Linked DNA regions of Macaca fascicularis. The protein of the gene in region 2 interacts with the protein of the main gene of each other region in a pairwise test. Links are inferred from orthologs where the notes say so. Each region holds a gene or a part of one and is shown on either strand. Other genes may lie near its edges.

What was found. The genes of interacting proteins can lie anywhere in the genome.
Region 1: the proteins of TFIP11 (region 2) and CCDC121 interact in binary tests that used the Homo sapiens proteins (3 or more experiments, as listed by UniProt). The two-hybrid records come from large-scale screens. The link is inferred for Macaca fascicularis from reciprocal best matches to the Homo sapiens genes TFIP11 and CCDC121.
Region 3: the proteins of TFIP11 (region 2) and LCA5L interact in binary tests that used the Homo sapiens proteins (3 or more experiments, as listed by UniProt). The two-hybrid records come from large-scale screens. The link is inferred for Macaca fascicularis from reciprocal best matches to the Homo sapiens genes TFIP11 and LCA5L.

What each region holds. Positions count from the first base shown.
Region 1 is NC_088387.1:94,603,154-94,611,218, reverse strand, and holds CCDC121 (coiled-coil domain-containing protein 121), read right to left. Parts: upstream 5,023-8,065; 5' UTR 4,786-5,022; coding exon 4,418-4,785; coding exon of another isoform or gene 4,408-4,417; intron 3,952-4,407; coding exon 2,997-3,951; 3' UTR 1,689-2,996; downstream 1-1,688. Other genes in the region: GPN1 (GPN-loop GTPase 1), read left to right, coding at 5,081-5,191, 5,894-5,987, 7,053-7,092, 7,816-7,882.
Region 2 is NC_088384.1:25,183,793-25,191,118, reverse strand, and holds part of TFIP11 (tuftelin-interacting protein 11), read right to left. Parts: intron 5,983-7,326; coding exon 5,455-5,982; intron 5,326-5,454; coding exon 5,219-5,325; intron 3,248-5,218; coding exon 3,079-3,247; intron 2,669-3,078; coding exon 2,425-2,668; intron 1,481-2,424; coding exon 1,338-1,480; intron 849-1,337; coding exon 683-848; intron 1-682. UniProt on the Homo sapiens protein: Involved in pre-mRNA splicing, specifically in spliceosome disassembly during late-stage splicing events. Intron turnover seems to proceed through reactions in two lariat-intron associated complexes termed Intron Large (IL) and Intron Small (IS).
Region 3 is NC_088377.1:7,532,540-7,540,556, reverse strand, and holds the start of LCA5L (lebercilin-like protein), read right to left. Parts: upstream 5,023-8,017; 5' UTR 4,959-5,022; intron 3,148-4,958; 5' UTR 3,082-3,147; intron 1-3,081.

The DNA.
Region 1 (8,065 bases), on a different chromosome or scaffold from region 2:
TGCCAACCAGGAACATATATCTGAGACTATTAAGTGAGCAAGAAATAAATGTCTGTTACTTGAGACATTATACATTCTTGGGTCTCTTGTCAGCCTGCTCTAATACACAATAATTATCCATTATCAGAATGGATAAATTGCGATATAGTCATACAGTAGAATACAAGCTACAAAATTGAGTAGGGTTTCTTGTATCATCATGAATATGTCTCAATGTCTGGGGCCGGGCATGGTGGCTCACACCTGTCATCCTAACATTTTGGGAGGTTGAGGCTGGAGGATCGCTTGAGCTCAGGAGTTCTAGACTAACCTGGGCAATGTGGTGAAATCTCATCTCTACAAAAAATAAATAAATTAGCTGGACATTGTGGTGTGCACCTATAGTCCCAGCTACTTGGGAGGCTAAGATGGGAGGACTGCTTGGGTCCAGGAGATCGAGATGCTGCCATGAGCTGTGATCATGCTACTGCACTCCAGCCTGTGTGACACAGTGAGACTGTCTCAAAAAATATTTAAAAAAAAAAAAAATTCCGTACATCTCCTTAAAAGAGAACATTTTAGAAATTTACTCTTGCTTCATCTTGATTCCTCTCTCTCTTCTCATAGCAAACCCATTAGCAAGTCCTGTCTACCACCAACTACATTTTGAATCTGTTCACTGTACTTCTGCCATTCCAATCTAAGCCATCATTACCTCTTGCCTAGACTACAGTATCTTCCTAATTGGTTTCCTTCCACTTTCTTCTGGCTTGGATACACTCCACCTAACAGCTGTAGTTTTTAACAATTGAAATCAGACCTCATTCACTTGCTAAAGGCCCTCGGTCTACGTCTCTGTGCTCATAACTCCTGCTAGCCTTAATAGCCTCCACCCTTGTTCTTTGACCATTCCCCAACTATACACACACCTTTCTGTTCCTTGAACCTACCAAGCTTATTGCCATCTTTAGGCATTTGCATTCACTGTTGCCTCTGCCTAGAATAGTTTCTTCCCCAGTTTTTGCAGGGGCTTCATTTCAATTGTAGGCTTCATTTTAGCAATCATAGCAGGTCTTAAATTTCACCTCAGAGGTATTTTCCATCTAAATTCACTTTCTTAACCCTGTGTAATTTTCTAAATAGCAAAGCAGACAAAATGTAGATTGAAATCTTAGTTGGCCAACTTGCTGCTCACTTAGAGGTATGGATTTCAAGGTATGAAATCAGTTATCATTCAACTTTTAATGTCTTCAAGCCTTCACTCTGGAAGGGACAGCCACAAGCAGTATACCATATCCATTATCTGGGATGATAAGAAGTAAAAATGAACTGAGATCAGGTGGAAGTTACCCACTCCTGAATTAGATAATCAGGACACCAGTGGCAGGAGGGGAATTAACAGAAGAACTAATATGCTTCCTACTTTACAACTTTTTATCAGCCTTAGAAATATATTGTCTTAGGGTTTTTACATCCACAGAGAATAAGCCTTCAAGTTTGTCTTGGATACCATGCTTTCCTTGTTCCGTGTTTCTGTATTTTCAGCTCACAAATTGAGATTTAATTTAAAGCACCTGCATGCTAAAATCCTAATTTCTGCATTAAAACTAGTTTTTATTATTTGCACGTGTAAGACATTTAAGAGTGGTAATAGAGTGATGAAGCAGAAAATGTGTTACATTGGAACAGTAATAAAATCAGTGGATAAATGTTTTTACTAATGTTTAATAAACTACATATTTAACAGAAAAGTTGTTAAAGCTAGAAGGTAAGGACATATTGAAGGAGAATCCTTTTTAAGTCCAATTTTAAGGGAATTCACTTTACATGTAAATAAAGCTGAAAATTCAGGAAAATTATTTTGAAGTTTTTCATCACTAACAATTTCTGGGAAACAAAGTTGATCCTATTTTCCCATAGAGGACCCATATTAAAATGTGAGATTATATTCCTATACTGGGATTCAGCATTCAAATAACTAGTCCCAACTTCAATGTCGCAGAACCCCCCCAAAATATATAACTATCCTAAAAATATATACTTTAAAATATAATTTATAGTTCTACTAAATGGGAATAAACATGGCATGCGTTAATTACAAAAGATACTTCACGTACTAGAAAGTGCACCTGTAAGAAAATTAATAAATGACCTAAAACTAAAGCACTTAGGATAATAAACATCATTTTACTTCTATCTTTTAGAATGCTGCTAGGGAAATGGATGACACTTTTTAAAAAGTCCAAATATTTCAACTTTTTTTGGATACATTTTCCTGAAATAAGGGGAGGCATTCAGTCACCTCCATGCTACATATGTTTCTTCAAAGAAAACATTTTCAAATGTAAGAGCTGACCTAATAGATGTCTCCTTCATCTTCTCTTACCTTCTCAATTTACTTAAAGCTAAACTTGTAGGGGCTTCACATCAGATGAAAGGTCACTCTGCCTAGCACTTACTGGACTTGCTGTTATCAGAATGCTTTTTCGCTCATGAGAAAACTAGGAGCTACCTGGTCACTGGCACAAACTTACAAAAATCTTATAAAAACTGCTTTTGTCTGCTAAGTCGGTCAAAAGGAATGAGGATAAACTGATACTGGTTATTTACTGAGCAGAACGCTATTCAGTCTATTTGGAATGCTAACCTTAAAGGTACTTTTTCTCTATAAAGAAATCTAGTTAGATGAAATAAATCACAACTGTTTTCACTTCCTCGGGTTGGTTTCCTTTAGCTAGTTTGATGTATGGTAAATGGCTAGGTTAGGGTCATGTGTTAGGTTAACTAGAGGTTTGTGGAATATCTTATTAACGAGAGTATTTCAAGAAAAAACTAGTTAAGGGAAGCTGGTTACCAAATATCTAGTAGGACTGTTGGATCATCTAATCCTCCACTCTAACACTCATGATGGAGATGTTACAATAACAATCTGGAATCCAAAAGCCTTCCTAACCAGGTTAATGTAGCACTTAAGAGTACTTGCTCCAGTTATCTAATCAGTGTTATTTTAGGAGGAGTTACTTTGGATTAATCCTTGATTTGGTGCCTTGGGGAAGACTGGGTGTGGTCTTTGGAACATCCTGTCTATTTAGGCACTGATTATGACTTCCTTGCAATCTCTGCCTCCCCCGGATTAAGGACTCCAGATACCACTGTTCCTGCTGCAGCTGCTGCTTCCTGTTTTCTAAGTGGCTTTGAGTAGCCGTTAGTTTCTGGGCTTGCTCAATTAGCTGCAGTAATTCCTTCTTGAACTGCTGGTTCTCTCTTTTGAGGCCACAGGAGTATTCAAAAATAGACCGCTCTGCTGCCAACTTCAAGGCCTGGGCTTTCTTATTAAGCTCTCTTCTTTTTCTCTTTCCCAGTAGCCTCCTGTCTGGCTCGCTCAGTTGTTTCTCCAGTAATCTTTTCTCCTGGAGGAGCTGGGCCTGTACTTCACGTGTCTTTGCAGCTGTCTCAGCTTGGACTTTCTTTTTCTCCTCCTGTAATGTCTGTATTTCTTTCTCCTGCTTTTCCTTTAATATAGCAATGTCCCTCATTGCCTGCAACTTCCGCTTCAAACTGGATTGGATATTTTCCTTTTGCAAGAGCGCTGTTTTAAGCACTGAAATTTGTTCTGCATATCTGGAGGCTGATTCTTGTCTTCTTCGTTCGATCTCTCCACTTTGTTGTAAATAGCTGTTCCATACCTTCTCAGGTTGCTTTGTGTACTCTTCAGTTTTGTTAGTCAGGTATTCCAGAAAGAACCTGTTTTCAGCCTGGACAAGTAACTTTTCTTGGTATAGCTCCCTGTATTCCTCCAGTAGCTGTTCCCGCTGGATTTGAGCTTGTTTTATATGCTTGTTCAGAACCGTCATTTCCGCCACTATCTTTTCTTTAAGGATTGTCTCCACCTTTGTTAGCTTCTCTGGCTTGACAAAATTATTTATTAGCCTATGATACGGTGGAAGGAGCCTTCTGGGGCCCTCAGCAAACCTGAAAGAACAAATGAGACATTCCTCTCTCAGTTGATGAAACTTTAGGAAGTGCAGAACTGTCCTTTATTTATACCAGAGAATATTTCTGAGTACCCAGAATGTTCCAGACATTATGCAAGGTGAGGGGAATCCAGCTAGTGGTAAAAGATGACGGATTTAGCTCATCATTTACAACGTGCGTTCACCACAACCCTGGGAGGTACTATCTCAGTTTTAAAAAGAGAAAACAGGTTCAGAGAGTTTAAGTGAATTGCCCATGACTCACACCACTAGCAAGTGGCAGAGCCTGGGTATGAAAGCCAGATCTTATGACTTACTGAACACTGTTAGCAGCTACAAAGGGCCACAGAAACAGACTGGGTGGTTGCGAGTAGAAATACTTTTCTAAGCTCTTTCATCATCTTTCCTGAGTTTCTGAGAGCCCTTCAGTGAGAAGGAAGCTCCCCTCCAGTACCTATTCGCACCTGGAATCCAAGCATTCATCCTGAAGGTCACGGCAACTGCGTAGTTCACCGAGGGTGATTACCAAGGAATGAGCGCTAGCATCAGGAACCTGCGCCTGCAACTCGCGGGAACAACGTGCAAGTGCGGAAAACTCCCGTAGTTTATCCGTTCGGTGCTCAAAGGGTCTCGGTGCTGCCCAGCAACCCTGGAGGCTGCACCCTGCTCCAGTCCTGGCTGGTCCAGCCCTGAACTGTTTAACCGCCTCGGCTACCGAATAAACCCGAGCAGCCGGTCCTCCAGTGGCTCCGCTCCCCGCTCTCTGCGGGCTCGAAATGAGAGGCATGCGCCTTGTTTTCTTGCTGTGTGAGTCCTGCCCTCGGGACCCCATCTCTTCTCGCCTTCCCCCTGGGGACAAAAGCCCTCCCAGGCTGCAGAGATCAGAGCCCTTTCCTAGCTCCCTTCAGCCTTCCTCTCGCTTGCTCAGCGCCCCCACTTCCTCGCCACTGTCACTAGTTGGCTCACCAGCCCTGCCCGATACTAAGAAGATGCCCTGGCAACTACCGCGCCCCTTCACGCTCCTTTCTGACGCTTTGGTTCTGTTTTCGTTCGCTGCCCAGAACATCGCGGAAGTTTCTCTAGCCATGCGGTGTCTCTATGGTCAGGTGGGCGGGGCCAGGAGGAAGATGGCGGCGCCCGCAGCTGCAGCTGAGCCCCAGGCTTCTGGGGGTCCGCGGCACCCAGTGTGTCTGTTGGTGTTGGGAATGGCGGGATCCGGGAAAACCACCTTTGTACAGGTGACGTACACAGCGTGGGTGTAGTAGGGGAGCGCAAAAGGTTGCCTCCGACAGGCGGAAGGCCAGGGAGAAAGGGAGGGAGGTCTCCGAGGATTTGGAGGGTATCGGCGCATGGGTTTCGGTCGTTTCCCATCAACTTTAGTTCCTTCCCCGGCAAAGCCTCCTCGGGCCCTAGCCAGGTTAATTAAGGCTGTCTTCTGTGCACCTTCAGTGCATACTCGGTCAGCTTACCACGTTGTACAGGAATTGTCTTGCTGATAAAATTGCCAGTTTCTTGAAGGCAGGGGCTTACAAGTAACTTTAGAGATTAATACAGTGCTAGCACACAGGTTTTGGTGAAGATTTGCCGAAGAATTATTTCTTGCACGCCTGTTATGTACCATTCACTGGGGATATAGCGAAAATTAGGTTGACAAGATTCATTCATGGGGCTAAATATTTAATGGAGGAGATAGAGAAAACCCACATACGAAGAATCAAAACAAGTAAACAAGTGACTATGAGTAGGGGAAGTTTTGTTAGATGGGTGATGAAGAAAGGTAGCATTTGAACTGAGAGTTGTATCTTGGTGTTGGATATAGTGGGTGGATATTTCAGGTAAAAGAAAATCTAAGTGCAAAACTCTTAAGGCATGGGTGGTAAAGGAAGTTCTCTCTTGTCCCCTCTTTGTCTCCTTCCAACCTTCTCCCCATATCTCTGCAGAGGCTCACAGGACACCTGCATGCCCAAGGCACTCCACCTTATGTGATCAACCTGGATCCAGCAGTACATGAAGTTCCCTTTCCTGCCAATATTGGTGAGTAAACCGGTAACATAACTTGTGTGAAGTGCTTTAAAGAGAATGGAAAAGGCCGGGCGCAGTGGCTCACCCCTGTAATCCCAGCACTTTGGGAGGTCGAGGCAGGTAGATGAAGAGGTCAGGAGTTCAAGACCAGCCTGGGCAAGATGGTGAAACCCCATCTCTACTAAAAATACAAAAAATTAGCCAGGCGCGGTGGCAGATGCCTGTAATTCCCGCTACTCGGGAGGCTGAGGCAGGAGAATTGCTTGAATCCGGGTGGCAGAGGTTGTAGTGAGCTAAGATAGCACCACTGCACTCCAGCCTAGGCAATAGAGTCAGACTCTCCAGCCTGCCAGTCTTCAGTGCCTTCTTTTTTGATGTTTTCTAAACTATCTACTTTCATTTCCTTTGGATTTGCTTGAGTTCCTAAACAGCTTAGGCTTTTTTTGTTGTTGTTGTTGTTGTTTTTATAGAGTCTCTGTCACCCAGGCCAGAGTGCAGTGGCGTGATTCAGCTCACTGCAGCCTCAACATCCCAGGCTCAAGTGATCCTCCCACCTCAGCCTCCTGCCACCATGCTGGGCTAGTTTTGTTTTGTTTGGAGAGACAAGGCCTCTCTATGTTGCCCAGGCTGGTCTTGAACTCCTGGGCTCAAGTGATCCTCCTGCCTTGGCCTCCCAAAATGCTGGGATTACAGGTGTGAGCCACTGTGCCCAGCCTAATTCCTTTTTAAAAATCATGTCTGCATTGCCTTTGCATTGCGTTTGTTAGTAATAGGCAATTAGTAAGAAGCTTTTTTTTCCCCTTGATTTTTGCCTCCCTTTTTCTAGACGTGTTTAACTTGTGTGAAACTTCTCACTTTGTGGAGACAAAACTCTCTACCATAACTTTAGAGCTCCTAGCCCTAACATTCTTCATGAATTACTTGACATTTATTCTTTGTAAGGAAGGAAACCAGTGTGAAAGTGGAGGTGGTAGAAGAGAATGCTGACAAGAGAAGGCTAGAAGGCCAGTTTCACTTTCCTGCTGGTAGGGAATGTGCATGTATTACATTCCAGTTAATTCTTTTCTTTCTCCTCAGATATTCGTGACACTGTAAAGTATAAAGAAGTCATGAAACAGTATCCTTTTCCATCTACTTTGGTCTTGACTCATTCCTGGCTTCGTTTCTGTGTATTTTGTGGCTTGAAAGAGTGTTTTTGCCTTTTCCCTGTGAAATATACAAGCAAAAGGATGGAAGCTGATTGTGGCAGAGGTAGGTGATCAGAAATATTATTTCAGCTTGAGGTTTTAGTTTTTTTACTGTCTCCCCAGATGGCAGGCTGTTGTAATTAAAGAGCAGAGAGTAGGATAGGATAACTGACAGCTACCTGGGTCCCACAAGGTAGTATTTTGCCTTGGAGGATCATCTGTTGGTCACCACCTCTTTAGACTGGGAAACTCAGAAATGAGTGGGTTTAGTTGGATTAACTCTTAGTAAATTGCTTTGTGAAATGTGTACTCTGCTTAATTTGTTTATGAGGATCAGAGCCGGAGGTGTTATACAGGTGGCCTTCATGGCCAGTGCTAGGGAGCTGTCACTGCCTGATGCACCTGTATTACATTTTGGTCACTTTGCTTTCTTCATTTTGCCTGGCCATTCCTAAAGTCATAAATGAGTGAGCCAGACCTTGATACTGAATGTTTCCCTGTGTGGTTAAGGTTGTGTGGTAGTCACGGATTAGGTTGCCAATATTCATTAATGGAACACTAATTTCATAATGCTGTTTTGTGTGAATGATAGCCTGGGTGTGAACTTTATAATCTAATCTATAAGCGATTTCAGTCCTCAACTTGGTGTCTAGATATGGACTTGGACCCAATGGCGGCATAGTGACCTCACTCAATCTCTTTGCTACCAGATTTGATCAGGTATGTCTGTCTTTAATATATCAATATGGCTGTGTAAAAATCTGTGACTCTTAAATTCCTTAGCTTGATCACATTGATAAAGAAAAGCGGCAAACCTGCACATAAATACAGAAAATAAGTAGACATTTTGTCAGACAGAGAAGTAGACTATGAGAAGGTGATCAGTATTGTCAGACACTTCAC
Region 2 (7,326 bases):
AGATGATCCCATTTCAATGCTGTGAATCGGCTAATGAGCAACACTGGAGCACACGACTGGTTGAAATAGGCTCCCAAATGTAGAAACATAAACATACTTTCATTTACTTATGATCTAGGCAGAATGACTTGCCTAGAACTTGGGAATAGATATAGTACATGAAGAGTGAACTGCCGGTTTTTGACAACACAGACACCACCTATTGAAGGCTGCAAACAAGCATGAACTCAATCCCCCTTTTAGCCTATGAAGTAGATCTTACTGTTTAACAGGTCAAATGGGGCTGATGAAGGCTGAGCAATCACCAAGTGTAAGACCGTGTACCCAACTCCACACTGTAAGATGTGTGACCTGGGCAGCGGGTTCAGGGCTGAATGAGCCTTAAAAGGCCACACAGCACAGTGGTTAAGAGGGTGGGGCCTGGGGTTAGACTGACATCTGAATCCAGCTTAAGTCAGTCTCCTTAGGGAAGATGCCCCTCTCAGTCATGGTAGACCTGGGCAGTGGGTGCCAGCTGACCATGTACCCCAATCAGCAGGGTGAGAGGCTGTTGCTATGGGCAAAAGTACGACCTAAGGTTTAGGCTGCCTACAGGAACCAGAAAACTCTGATTCTGTGTCATTTACATGTGTAAAATCTGAAACTCAGGGCCAGGACATCCAAAATGGGAATCCTCACTTACCAACATTGGAGGACACCGCCCGGTTCATGATATCAAGTGCCTCGTTAAATTTGTCCTTGACAGATGGATGTGCCAGCACTTGGTCTGAGAACATAGACTTCCAACCCAGGTACCACTTGGTGATCTCCTCATAATTTGGGCTGTTACTGAGCCAAGAGCACAGCACCTGCCAAAAAGAAAAATTACTTGCATCCATGGTGGCAACAAATGAAGGCAAGATTTCCGAAGGGGCCATTTGTTTTGTTTTGATCCTGGTCCTGCAGGCTAGTGACACCACTTTACAGGGATTTATAGTAGCTAAACAGTCTAGGACTTACGAATATGGATTTTGGAGTCAGCCTGGTAGCTAAAGTGCCCTTGCATGTAAACTCTCTGAGCTCCGCTTCCATGTCTACACAACAGGGATACCATAGCCCCTACCCCATAGGGTTGCTGCGAGGAGCTGAGATAAAGCAAATAAAGTGCTTGGAACAGCTTCTGATACGTAGCAAATGTCCAATAAATGGTGGCCACTATTAAGATGACCTAACTCATTCCTACCCTACCATGTAATTCATTTTTATTATGGAATTGTACCTACAGTCAGGCCTCGGCAGAAAATTAACTTAATCCCCACCCAGTTCCCTCCCCCAGAAAGCCAAGCAAAACAGTGTACCTGAAGCCACTTGGGGAAGAAGTGCTTTTCAAGAAGTCCCACCAGACTAGAGACAGAGATCATCCCTTCCCAGTCGATCACCCAATAGAATGCATCCATGTGCTGCTGGTGGGGGTTAATGACTAGCTCACCAAGACACATCCCTGGAAGAGAAACCCGGTCTATAAGGCACAGCTTTAGTACTGGCAAAGCCACAGAAGCACAAAGAGCAAAGATAATGTCCGTTTTCCTCTCAGGTCACAACAACCTCCACCTCCTGGGTTCAAGTGACTCTTGTGCCTCAGCCTCCTAAGTAGCTGGGAGTACAGGTGTGCACCACCGCGGCCGGCTAATTTTTGTGTTTTTATTAGAGACAGGGTTTTGCCATGTTGCCCAGGCTGGTCTCAAACTCCTGATCTCAGGTGATCTGCCACCTCAGCCTCCCAAAGTGCTGGGATTACAGGCATGAGTCACGGCTCCTGGCGGTTTTTTTTTTTTTTTTTTTTTGAGACAGGGTCTCACCGTTGCCCAGGCTGGAGTGCAATGGCAGATCTCAGCTCACTGCAACCTCTGCCTCCCAGGTTCAAGCCATCCTCCCTAGTAGCTGGGACCACAGGCACATGCCACCACACCTGGCTAGTTTTTGTATTTTTGGTAGAGATGGGGTTTAACCATGTTGCTCAGGCTTTAATCTGCTTTAAAGGTCAAATTTAAGCTCCTGACATAGCAATTCTTAAAAAAAAATATATATATATATATATATATGTTTTTTTTTTTTGCTAAACCAGAAATAACTCCCTAATAATTTAGAATAAAATACCACAAAAATTTCAGAACTCCAATGGCTGTCCTGTTACCAGAAGCCAAAGCCAATCAGGAAAACCACAAGGCACAGAGTCCGATGTTGTTACTGTCAACTATTAGTCGCTGTTGTAAACAAACAGCGGAAAGGACCCAAGTTACATTTATGTTCAGCCTCTGAACAGCAAGGAATATTGTGTACTAAGCACTTTCATGAATACAAAGGCTATGCTTTAAATCACCACTGACCAAGAAACCAGGGCACCAAAGCTGCTGGGCTTGGACTGCATTTTCCCCATATCCTTACCCAGCTTGGGCACTATGTTTTTGACCATGAATGCTTCCCAGGAGCCAGGAGTGAAGACATCCTTCCAGGGCTGGAGGATAAGCTTGGCAGAGGAGTCACTGGGGTGCCACTTCTGCAGGGCACTGGACAGCTTGCTACGGATGGGGGAATAGAGCGGCTCCAGCCGTGCCTGCATAAGGGGCAACCATGGGTGGATCCAAGAGTGGATGGGAACAGTGTCTGTGAGCGGGTTCCAGTTTTCCACCTGCAATGTGGGGAGAAGAAACAGAAGAAACAGTTCATGTCGCCTATTGGGCAGTCACATAACACCCGTGTGGTTAAAGGCAAGAGCTGCCCCTGGAGGAGGCCCCATGCTCTCCAAGGCCCATGGTCCTTTGTACATCGCCAAACAAATATGCCCATTCATTTGATTACCTCTCAGAAATAGCATAATTCTAATTTTAGTGAAGAAATCAAGAAAATGAATTCCCTCCTGAGGGTGGCTTGGGGGGAAAAGTGCTGAGAAAAAGGCTGGAATTAACACTCTAGGTCAACAGTTGTGTTGACAAATTCTGTTAATTCCAGGCATTTTAACAGCACTGAGATAATGAAGACATAGACTGAACAAGTCCCTGTAGTTAGTGATGACAGTTGTTCCTGTGACTCTCACCCCACCTCCTTTTGCAGCTTGGGGAAGATGAGTTGGTCCAGTATGTTATCTAAGATCCACACAGGAATGATGTGCACCCAACTATCCAAAAAGTCCACCATCGGGTCACAGTTCCTTGGCTGCCACTGAGTGACAATATTTCGAACAAAAGGCATCCAGACTTCCCATATCAACCTATGGGAGAAAGGCAGAGGACAGGCTGGTTAATTACACTGATTGGTTTCAAAGAACACCACCACCGCCCACCTCTCTAGAATCAGAAATAAAAATGCAACAGCATGGAAATCCGATCAGAGGAAACCATCAGGCCAGTCACCATGCTGGCCAGACCTGAGCCTGCTTCTTCCTTGTTCTCGTGACTCTCCTCTCGAACTGAGGCCTTGGTCTCGTAGGCAGTGCCCGCCCACCTGGCAGAGCTGCTTTAGGGTCACAAGGGTCTCTTCCTAGGTATCAAGTGCTTTCCCACCTATAGGCTTCTATTCATGAGCTGACATCTCTCACCCTCTGATCACAGTTTCAATGTCACCTCCTCTAAGACCTCTGTCCTAACCCCCATTCCAAGGAGGTCGCTCCTGCAGTTTTCTATCGCTGTACCTGGTGTGCATCCTGCCTTTATTTGTTCACTACCTTATTTCCCATCTGCCTTTTCTGCTGTACTAAAGACAGAGGCTGTCTGCTGTACTAGGGTAAGCCCAGCACCTAGCACAAGCATGATATTCAACAGACATTTGACAAGTGTCAGCTGAATTCATGGCCAAATGTAATTGTACAACCACTATGGAAAACAGTGTGGAGATTCCTTAGAAAACTAAAAGTACAACCACCATTTGATCCAGCAATCCCACTACTGGGTATCTACCCAGAAGAAAAGAAGTCATGGCTGGGTGCGGTGGCTCACGCCTGTAAACCCAGCACTTTGGGAGGCCAAGGCAGGCGGATCATGAGGTCAAGAGATTGAGACTATCCTGGCCATCATGGTGAAACCCTGTGTCTACTAAAAATACAAAAGTTAGCTGGGCGTGGTGGTGCATGCCCGTAGTCCCAGCTACTTGGGAGGCTGAGGCAGGAGAATTGCTTGAACCCCGGAGGCAGAGGTTGCAGTGAGCCAAGATCACGCCACTGTACTCCAGCCTGGCGACAAAGCGAGACTTCATCTCAAAAAAAAAAACACAAAAGAAGTCATTTTATGAAAAAGATATTTGCTCACACAAGTTTACAGTAGCACAATTCACAACTGCAAAAATGTGGAACCAACCCAAATGCCCACCAATCAACAAGTAGATAAAGAAACTGGTACATATATATATAATGGAATATGACTCAGCCATAAAAAGGAATGAATTAATGGCATTCGCAGCAACCTGGTTGGAATTGGAGACTACTATTCTAAGTGAAGTAACTCAAGAATGGAAAACCAAACATCTTGTGTTTTCACTCATAAGCGGAAGCTAAGCTATGAGGATGCAAAGGCGTAAGAATGACACAATGGACTTTGGGGACTTGGGGAAAGGGTGAACGGGGTGCGGGATAAAAGACTACAAATTAAGCCAGGCACGGTGGCTCACGCCTGTAATCCCAGCACTTTGGGAGGCCAAGGCGGGTGGATCACGAGATCAGGGGATGGAGATCATCCTGGCCAACATGGTGAAACCCTGTCTCTACTAAAAATACAAACATTAGCTGGGTGTGGTGGTGCGTGCCTGTGATCCCAGCTACTCGGGAGGCTGAGGCAGAATTGCTTGAACCAGGCAGCTGGAGGTTGTAGTGAGCTGAGATCACACCACTGCACTCTAGCGTGGCGAAAGAGTAAAACTCCGTCTCACAAAAAAAAGACTACAAATTGGGTTCAATGTATACTGCTCAGGAGATGGGTACACCAAAATCTCACGAATCACCACCAAAGAACTTACTCATGTAACCAAATACTACTTGTTCCCCAAAACCCTGTGGAAATAAAACATTTCAAAAAAAATAAAATAAAAAATAAAATAAATTCATGGCCAAATGAATTTAAATTCCTAAAGCGGTATCAGCATGAGCAGAGAATTAATCAAGGCTAGCACTGCTGCCTTCCCCCACCTTCAGCAGTCCTTCCCAACCCCCCAGCAGAAAGGAGCTGGAGCACAGAGCCCTGCCCTGTGGTACCTGTGAAAGGCATCTGCCGAGAGGTCCTGTCCGCCGTGAGACAAGAGCTGGTCATTCTCCAGGAGGCTTTTCCACTTGGAGATTATCTCGGTGCCGTAAGTGCAGTCCTGAGGAGAAAGGCAGAGTAGCTGAGGGGCAGCAGGCTTTCCAGCCCTCCCTGCCCACTGGACCAACTCATCAAGCAAGGGTAAGCCCAACCAAGAGGCAGGGATAAGTTGATTTTCCCAACAACTCACTTTGAGGGGATCCCACTCCTTGAAGTACTCCTTCATGAGTGGATAGACGATGGCCACGGCGAGGTCCACACGGTCGGACATCCTGTACTCCTCATAGTACTTGTCCTGCAGGGTTTCGAAGATGCGGGCACACTCGTCCAGGGTGAGGGGGTTGCTGCAGTCGGGCTGCATCCGCCGCTCGCACTCCTCCACCATCTCCAGGACCTTGCTGAGGTTGGAGATGACCCGCTCCTCATGGTCCAGGACCTCGGTCATCTTCTCCAGCTCGTGGAAGAGGTTGACCACCATGTCCCGCTCATACTGTAGCTGCCGGTCATTCTGGATGATCTCCTGCTCCGTGAGGTCAATGAGCAGCTGCAGGTTGTGCTCCAGCTCGGGCAGCGCAAAGCCTGGGGCCTTGGCCTCTTTGCCAGACTGTGGCAGCTGTTGGGACTGCAGCGGCAGCCCATCATCGGGAACGTTGTGCTTGTGGCTGATCTGACTGTAGCTGTAGTAGACCTTTTGCTCCCGGCCTGTCATGTCTATGACCTTGGAAAACGTAGAAGGACGAAGGTTAACACCACTGCGGCACTGTTAAACACACAGCTAAGCCCAGGGGAAGGCCCCATGACAGGGAAGTGTGTAGAAACCACATTATTCAACAGAGCTGGAGAAGGGCAGTGTTGTAAAGTGGGATCCGCACTGTCCTAGCCTAAAGGAGACTCCAGGGACAAAATCAGATGCAGCAAGCAGTTCTAGGTTGGATCACTTTGAGCAAGCCAGATGGAGAAGACTTTTTAGGGAAACATGAAATTTAAATAGGGACTGAGTATTAGTAGATGTGAAAATTTATTTTAATGGAAAGGTAGAAGCTGTACTGATCAAAGAAGGTAACACAATCAGAATATCACATTTTGATTTAAAAAATGCACATAAGCATAGAAAAAGATCTAGGATGTATAACAAGATGTTAACATTTGGTAATCTTGGAAGGATGGAAAATATTTCCTATATTTCTCCCCATTTCCTAACTTTCTAAAATGTACTACACACTGCTATTATAATAACAGTTGTTTTTTTAATTTAATTTTTTAAACTTTATTTTTTGAGATGCAGTCTTGCTCTGGTGCCCAGGCTGGAGTACAGTGGCACGATCTCAGCTCACTGCAAGCTCCGCCTCCCGGGTTCATGCCATTCTCCTGCCTCAGCCTCCCGAATAGCTGGGACTACAGGCGCCCGCCACCACGCCCGGCTAATTTTTTGTATTTTTAGTAGAGACGGGGTTTCACTGTGTTAGCCAGGAAGGTCTCGATCTCCTGACCTCCTGATCCATCCGCCTTGGCCTCCCAAAGTGCTGGAATTACAGGTGTGAGCCACCGCGCCCAGGCTTTTAATTTTAAAACAAAATAAAACATACAAAAGGCTAATTGAACAAAGGCAACCTAGGCAATGAGCTAATTCCAATATTTTAGGAAAACAGGAAATGTGAATATGGACTGCACTTCTGAAGCAGAATGATTCATCACCACTTTTTAAGTAAGTGTGTGATCCATGAACCACCAGCATTAGAATCACTGGAGGAGGAAAAAAAAAAAAAGTCTTGAGGTTCAGTTTAGACTCAAAATTCCTGGGAGGCACCTAGACGCCCGTATTTCTTATCAGGTCGTCCAGATAATATAACAGCACACGTTTGAGAACCCCACTAAAGGCTTTGAGGTCTATGACACACTATATATCCTACAGCAAATGACAACAGGCAACTGTCACCATTGTTCTTTGACTACTTGGAAAAGTAATGGAAAACGTAATACACTATATGCACGTAACAGTGAGTGAAAATTGAATGTATCTTAAAAAAAGAAAATACTCAATGCTGACTAAGGAGCCCTGGGA
Region 3 (8,017 bases), on a different chromosome or scaffold from region 2:
TCTTAACACTGATTGGCCTGGTGTGGTGGCTCACACCTGTAATCCCAGCACTTTGGGAGGCTGAGGCAGGTGGATCACTTGGGCCCAGGAGTTTGAGACCAGCCTGGGCAACATGGTGAGACCCCATTCCTAAAAAAAGAATTAGCCAGTGTGACAGTCTCAGCTACTCAGGAGGCTGAGCCCAGGAAGTCAAGGCTGCAGTGATGGAGTGAGCTGTGATCGCACAACCACATTCCAGCCTGAGGGACAGAGTGGGACCCAGTTTCAAAACTGAAAAAACAGACGAACAAAACACTGATTGAGACGCAGTATACTCTGGAAGAAAAAAGGTATGTTCCCAGTTCTGCCAATACAACTAGCTAGTAGGCCTCAAATGTCTCAGGCAAGAAATTGGCTGATTTCTCAGTGACATCTAGCACTAAATTTCATAAATGAAATATACCTATATATATCAGAAATTTCAAGTTTATTTGATAACATGAAAATGTGCCACGTTCAAAGTCTGGATGGTTACAGACTAGCTATGCTATGCAGGTTTTGGTAATTTAACAACTTTATGTATTTTAGAACAAATGTTTGAATTCACTAGCAGACTGACATCCCAGTCACCTTCATGGTAAGAACCCATGCCTCTCTACTTCCACCAAGTGGTGGCAAATGCAATGTACCACACTGAGTAAAGGGCTACAAATCTTACCCAAGTACCCGTTTTTAGCTACCCTGCCACAACATTCTTTTTAATTTTCGGTGTTTGCCTGATTATTTTTTACTAGGAGTTTCATTCTATTTTAATAGAATTGTTCTAAAACACACGGCACTTAGTATCTCTTACACATTAGAATGTTCATTTCATTCATTCTTTCAGCACCCATTTGCGTGCTTACTATGTGTCAGGCACTGTGGGGTGTGGAGATACAGTGATGAACACAAACAGCAAATGTTTCTGTTTTTGTGGGACTTTCTGTAATGAACTAATCATAATAGTGACTGTCCCGAGTGTCTTCAAGGAAGGAGATACAACTCTGTGAAGGTGAAACTGATCCTGACAGTGATCGGGGAAGTTATCCCTGTAGAAGTGATGTCTGAGTTGAGATAGGAAGGGTCAGTGGGAACTAACTAGGCAAGAGAGGATGAGAGGGAGGAAGGAAAAACAATGCAGACAGAGAGAAAAGAATGCCAAGGCCTGGTGGGTGGAGGAGGCCCATGTGGCTGAAGCCCAGTGAGGAGGGCCAGCCGTTTCAGATGAGTCTTGAGAAGCAGGCGGGGGTGAGCAGCTGCAGGTCCTTGGGAAGGCGTGCCTATGATGTGGATCATTAATCCAAGGGCAATGGGAAGCTGGCGGTAAGCAAAAGAGGGAGGTGGGGAGGGATGGCATAATCAGCTCTGCCTTCTGAAGAGGTTACTCTGGCTGCAGGGTGGTGAAGAATCGAGAAAAGCCAGAGATGTGGGGAGACCAGCTGGTACAGGACTGCAGCAGGCTGAATGAAGGTGGTAGTTTGGACTTAGGCATCCACGACAAAGAAGAGATGTGAAAGATGCCCAGGAGACAACCTCACCTGGGCTTAAGGATTCACTGGGTGTTGGGGTGTGGTAACGGTCAAGGAGGAATCCTGGGTACAATGGAAGAGGTCCCAGCTGGGGTTGGGAAGTGGGGTTGTTTGGTCTTGTGCATGTTGAATTGGAGGAGACTGAGTGATATTAAGAAACACTGTCACGCAGCTAGCTGAATGTACGAGTCTAGCTGAGAAAAGGTCAAGTTGGAGAAAGGTGGGAGTCAAGAGCACACAGCTGGAACTTAAAGCTGTGCGTGTGAATCTGTGCCCTGTGCTAGATGAGGGGGCGCAATGGAGAACAAAATGGGAACAGAGGCCGAGCTTTGAGGATCTCCAATATTAAGGAGCCTGGGAGAGGAGGGTGAGCCAGAATGGCAGCAGGAAAAGCAGGAGAGACAGGGGTGGTCACAGAAGCCAAGGGCAGACGGTGTTTGTAGAGTGAAATGGGGGCAGCAGTTTCAAATGCTGTTGAGAGACTGAGCAAGACGAGGCCTGGAAATGTCTCATTCCCGGTTTTTGTTTTAGCAGAGATGAAGAGGGAAGCCAGGCTGGCTGAGGAGTGAGAGACAAATAACAGAGGTATCGAATAAGGCAGTTCTTTAAAGTTTGCCTGTCGAAAGGGATAAGGGATTGGACAATAACTGGAAACTGAAGGGGAATGTGGGGTCATAGGAGATTCTTTTTTTCCTCTTTTGTGATGGGAAACTTCAACATGCTTCAGAACCATGGCAGAGCCAGCTGAGATGGAATAGGTGATGATACGGGAGAGGGAATGCATACCTGACAGTGTAGAGTTTTTGGCGAGTGGAAAGGGATGGGATCCAAAGCACAGAGAGGGAGTGGCTTTGGTTAGGAGGAGGAAGGAAGGTAGGAACAGATATAAGTAAGGCTTGCAGTTTTGGCAGCTGAAGAATGAGGGGATTCCCATGTGACAGCTTCAAGTTTCTCTATGAAGTGACAGCACAAGGGTGTGGTGGGAGATCAAATCTGAGTAAAGTGGTCATTTATGAAATGCAATCTCCTATAGACCCTCAGCTAACTGTGGCAATCCTACTCTGTTACTTTGGTTAATTGGGGTTTTACCTGACGGCAAAAGAGAAAAGATAGGGTTTAAGAGAGTGGCAAGGGTAGGGCCAGGCGTGGTGGCTCATGCCTGTAATCCCAGCACTTTGGAAGGCCGAGGCGGGCGGATTACCTGAGGTCAGGAGTTTGAGACCAGCTTGGCCAACATGGTGAAACCCCATCTCTACTAAAAATACAAAAATTAGCTGGGTGTGGTGGTGCACACCTGTAATCCCAGCTACTCAGGAGGCCGAGGCAGGAGAATTGCTTGAGCCCGGGAGATGGAGGTTGCAGTGAGCCGAGATGATGCCACTGCACTCCAGCCTGGCCAACAGAGTGAGACAATATCTCAAAAAAATGAAAAAAAAAGAGAGAGATTGGCAAGGGTACAGTTATGTAGGGACCTTAGCTCCTTGAGGGCAGGGACCTGTCACATTGATCGCCGTATCAGCACCCAGGTACTTACTATCAAAATGATCAGCATACGGATGATCATTTGTCTGCATCTCAGTTTGCCTCTTTTGGTGCTTCTCTAAAAAATAAAAAAAGGAAGAGCTTAAACTCCTACATGATTCCTGTCTTTGCACTGGGAAGAAGGCTCTGGATTCTTTTTTTTTTTTGAGACGGAGTCTTGCTCTGTCACCCAGGCTGCAGTGCAGTGGCCGGATCTCAGCTCACTGCAAGCTCCTCCTCTCGGGTTCACACCATTCTCCTGCCTCAGCCTCCCGAGTAGCTGGGACTACAGGCACCCGCCACTTCGCCCGGCTAGTTTTTTGTATTTTTTTAGTAGAGACGGGGTTTCACCGTATTAGCCAGGATGGTCTCGATCTCCTGACCTCATGATCCGCCCGTCTCGGCCTCCCAAAGTGCTGGGATTACAGGCTTGAGCCACCGCGCCCGGCCCGGCTCTGGATTCTTTTGTTCTTCAGGACAGTCCCTTGTAAAGCTCTGGCCATAGTTCTGTTCCAGGGGCACTGTCATATATATACCTAACACAGCTAAGGCGCATCTTTACATTGTCAGCTTGTTAGCATGATGCTTATGTAGACTTGTTTACCCGGTTTAAAAGTTGCAATGTGCAAAATACATACTGAAAATATTGCACTTTTATCTACGGAAATTGTAATTTATATAAGGAAATTGTAATTTACATAATCCTTTAAAAAACTTATTCATACGAAATAACAGAGAACGGGAAATAGCATTAAGGCTGTCATGCTCAAGTGGGGGAGGGGCAGACTCAGGGAAACCAATTAGGAAGCAAGTAAAGTAATCCAGGCACCAGATGATGGGGGCCTGGACCAAGGTGGTGACAGTGGGGGTTGAGAGAAATGGTAGAACTGTGAATCTATTCGGGTGCATTTTGAAGGCAGTGCTGACAGACTGAAGGTGAGGAAGAGAAAAAGAGGACTCAAGCAGGATACAAGGCTCGGGCAACTGGAGAATGGAATTCCCAGCAACTATGGCGGATTAAGATTGTGGGAGGACAGGCTTGGCTTGGGGAATTATTGAGAGCTATTTTGGATAAGCTGCGTTTGAGATGCTGTAGACATCCAAGTAGGGATGTGGCAGGCAGCTGAATGCAGGGGTCTGGTGTTCAGGGGAGGGGCGAGGGCTGGGAATGCACACTTGGGGCTCACTGGCATTCAGATAGGCTCTGAGTACAGGAGACTGGATGAGTTCATCTAGGGATTGAGAGGAGACGCAAAAAGGCTCAAGCTCACATTCAGCCGTGAAAAAAACTGGGCTCTTAAAAAACTTAACCGTTGGCTTCAGTGTGGCAACGAGATGTTAACACGCTGAGGAAAGGGTGTGGATAAAGAGTCCCGAGACTGGGCGAGTGGGGGACATACACAGAGAAGACATTTCAAAAGATTTAGATTCCTGCGACATAGGGAGATGCCAGAAAAACGAATCCCAAGCAAAACAGCAAGTAAGCAAAGGCAAAATCGGAGGTCAGATAGAAGATTCAGATAGAAAAACCCGAAAGTCCCTCGGTGGGGCGGCGGTGAGATCGGCCTCTGCCCCCTTGCCGGACCCAGGCGCGGCCCCGGGCGCGCTCGGTCACCTCGGCCCAGGCGTCCCCCCTGCCCAGCGGGCCTGAGAGTACGTGTGTCGCCGGGGCGCCCGGCCACTGCCGAGCCGGAGTAGCTGTTCCTTGCCAGACTGCGCTGCGAGGAGGAAACGGCCAGGCGCCAGCGAGGCAGGCAGGGGCGAGGACGCAGTGACCGGCGATACCGGAAGCCCAGAAAGAGCGTAGCAGGCGCGTCCGGACGGGACCAGCGTTGGGGCAGTAACAGGGCAACCGGCTGCGGCGGACGATGGCGGCAGTTGGGCCGTTACCTGTTCCGCGCGGTTCCCGCGACTGCAGCAAGGCCGCAGTGGCGGCCCGTCGCCATGGAAACCCGTGCGCGAGGCCTGCTGGGACGCGCAGGCCTGAGGGTGCTGGGCGCGCGCATGCGCACTCGGGAAGCGGACGCCGCGGCTGGGAGGGGCGTGTTTGGCCTGGAGGTCAGTGTGGCCTCGCGTTTTTCTTCGGTTCGGGGAAGTGAGTTGCTTGTGTAGACGTCTGTAAACAAGCCTCCTGCCGTCCCTGTTCGGCGCCCTGCCTGCCCCCGTGGCCGCACCGGGAGCGAGGGCTGCTAGGCAGCAGGTGTAGACGCCTGGTCAATGCCTGGGAAGCACAGTTTCCCTATTAACCCCGTGTCATAAAGACGGTTTTTTTGTTTTGGTTTGTTTTTGTAAAACAAAATCTGATGACAAAACAATGCATTATTTGGCATAGAGAATTTAGAAATGTACAGGCAAAATGTCCAAAGCAAAAGTCAAAATCACCTAGATGATGGAGTTGTAGGTGCTTTTTAATGACAGCATAGGAATTTGGCATCATTTAGGAAGACTTACATTGTTTCCTTTTATTTATTTACTTTTTTTCCTGTATCAAAGCCATGTTGAATATCCTTGCAGATGAATCTTTGACGTCACCCCTGACTGTTTCCTTAGGATAAATTCCTACATGTGAGGTTGCAGGGTCTGGCTCTGTCGCCCGGGCTGGAGTGCAGTGGCCGGATCTCAGCTCACTGCAAGCTCCGCCTCCCGGGTTTACGCCATTCTCCTGCCTCAGCCTCCCGAGTAGCTGGGACTACAGGCGCCGCCACCTCGCCCGGCTAGTTTTTTGTATTTTTAGTAGAGACAAGGTTTCACCGTGTTAGCCAGGATGGTCTCGATCTCCTGACCTCGTGATCCGCCCATCTCGGCCTCCCAAAGTGCTGGGATTACAGGCTTGAGCCACCGCGCCCGGCCACTTTGAGGCTTTCTAAAGGTAGAGGGAAACTGCCTTCCAGCAAACGTTCCAATCCTTGGCCCACATTGGAAATTCTCTTTTTTCTTACAGTTTTTTTTTTGCCCATTTTATTGTCAAAAATTGGCATCTTTGATTGTATTCACTTCCTTGTTAGTAGGAAGAATAGACTTTTTCCCATATTTTTCGTGCCATTTGTCCTTATTGTGTGATTTGAGTTTTCCTGTCTTTTGTTCATTTTAAAACTTGGCATTCATCTTTGTAAAAATTGGTTTTGTAAGAACTTTTGATGCTTGAAAACTTAGCTTGCGATATACGTTGCAAATACTTCCTCAGTTTGTCAGTTACCTTTAATTTTGTTTACAGTGCCTTTTGGTATTTGTGTAGAGTCAAGCTTATTAGATTTCTTTTTATAGTTTCTGCATTTGGTTTTTATATAAAAGGAGAAACGGGTGTTTTTTTTCAAATTGACTTTAATCCTGCTTTGGTAGAAGTGGGTTAGGACAAGCTTTCTCTCCATATCGCCATTTCTTCCTCTAGAAATGCATGACCTACCCTGAGTTTTGGTGGGCCGTGCATTTCTAGAACTCCTTCGGTAAGAAATTATCTGTATAAGATGGGTGCCGGTTGTTTTTGCTGGTGGTGGTGGTTGGGGCAACATCTCCAGGTAGGCAAACATTAGACAAACCCTAGACTTGACATTATGGAAAGATGGGCTGACTGATGCTTGGTGGCTGGTGGTGGTCCCATGACAGTAACAAGAGCAGAGGTTTGCCGTTGAGGGAACATCTAACCCTGGAGCTCAAGACTGGAGGAACTGAAAGGTAGAGGTTCCTTAGAATGGGTTCCTCCTCTTTTCTACCAGCTTTTCTCAGTATGTAGACTTGATAAGGTCACTCTGCAAATCTGCCCTTGAATCTTTCTGTTACAATTGAATAGTCTTTGTTTTTTTTTTTTGAGACATATCACTCTGTTGCCCAGGCGGGAGTGCAGTGCTGCCATCTCAGCTCACCACAACCTCTGTTTCCCATTTCCTGGGTTCAGGCGATTCTCCTGCATCAGCCTCCTGAGTAGCTGGGATTACAGGTGTGAGTCACAACACCTGGCTAATTCTTTTTGTATTTTTGGTAGAGATGGGGTTTTGCGATGTTGTCCAGGCTGGCCTTGAACTCCTGACCTTAAGTGATCTGCCCACCTCGGCCTCCCAAAGTGTTGGGATTTCAGGCATAAGCCATCGTGCCCAGCCTTTGCTTTTGCTTTTGAAGGGGGTTGTTCTTTTCTGTGTATACAATGGAAGGAGAAGAGCCATGGCCTTTTGCTATTCTGGTGGCCATCTCCATCGTGCCACATAATAAGCATAGCCTTTATTTGTCTGTATTAGGTTCCTAGGGATGCTGTAACAGATTACCATGAACTTAGGGGCTTAAAACAGTAGAACTTCATTGTCTCACATTTCTGAAGGTCACAAGTATGAAACCAAATTATCTGAAAGTCCATGTTTCCTCTGAAGGCTCTCAGGGAGAATTCTTGGACTCTTCCAGCTTCTGGGGGCTCCTGCTATTCCTTGACTTGTGGCAGCACCACTCCAGTTTCTACTTCCATCTTCACAGGGTTTTCTGCTGTGTCTCCCTTTCTCTTCTTAGAAGGACAGCCAGTCATTGGACTTAGGGCCTACCCTAAATCCGGGATGATTTACTCACAAGGCCCCCCAAATGATTACATCTGTAAAGACCCTATTTCCAAATAAGTTTACATGCTGAGGTTTGGGTGAACATGAATTTTGGGGAACAGTATTCAACCCACTACAGTTATTGTGGTGATCATTCCCATCATTCTACATAATAAACACATGTCTTTATTTGTCATTTTAAGTTGTCTGTAAAGTTATGTAAATGAAAACATATCGTCTGGTGTCATTTATCATGAGATCATCTGGGGGTCCCTATGAAGTTTGTAGCCAGTACCTCATGTCTTTAAATCAAAATTAGTCAAATCAAAAAGTGATGTTACGGCCGGGCGTGGTGGCTCAAGCCTGTAATCCCAGCACTCTGGGAGGCCGAGACGGGCGGATCATGAGGTCAGGAGATTGAGACCATCCTGG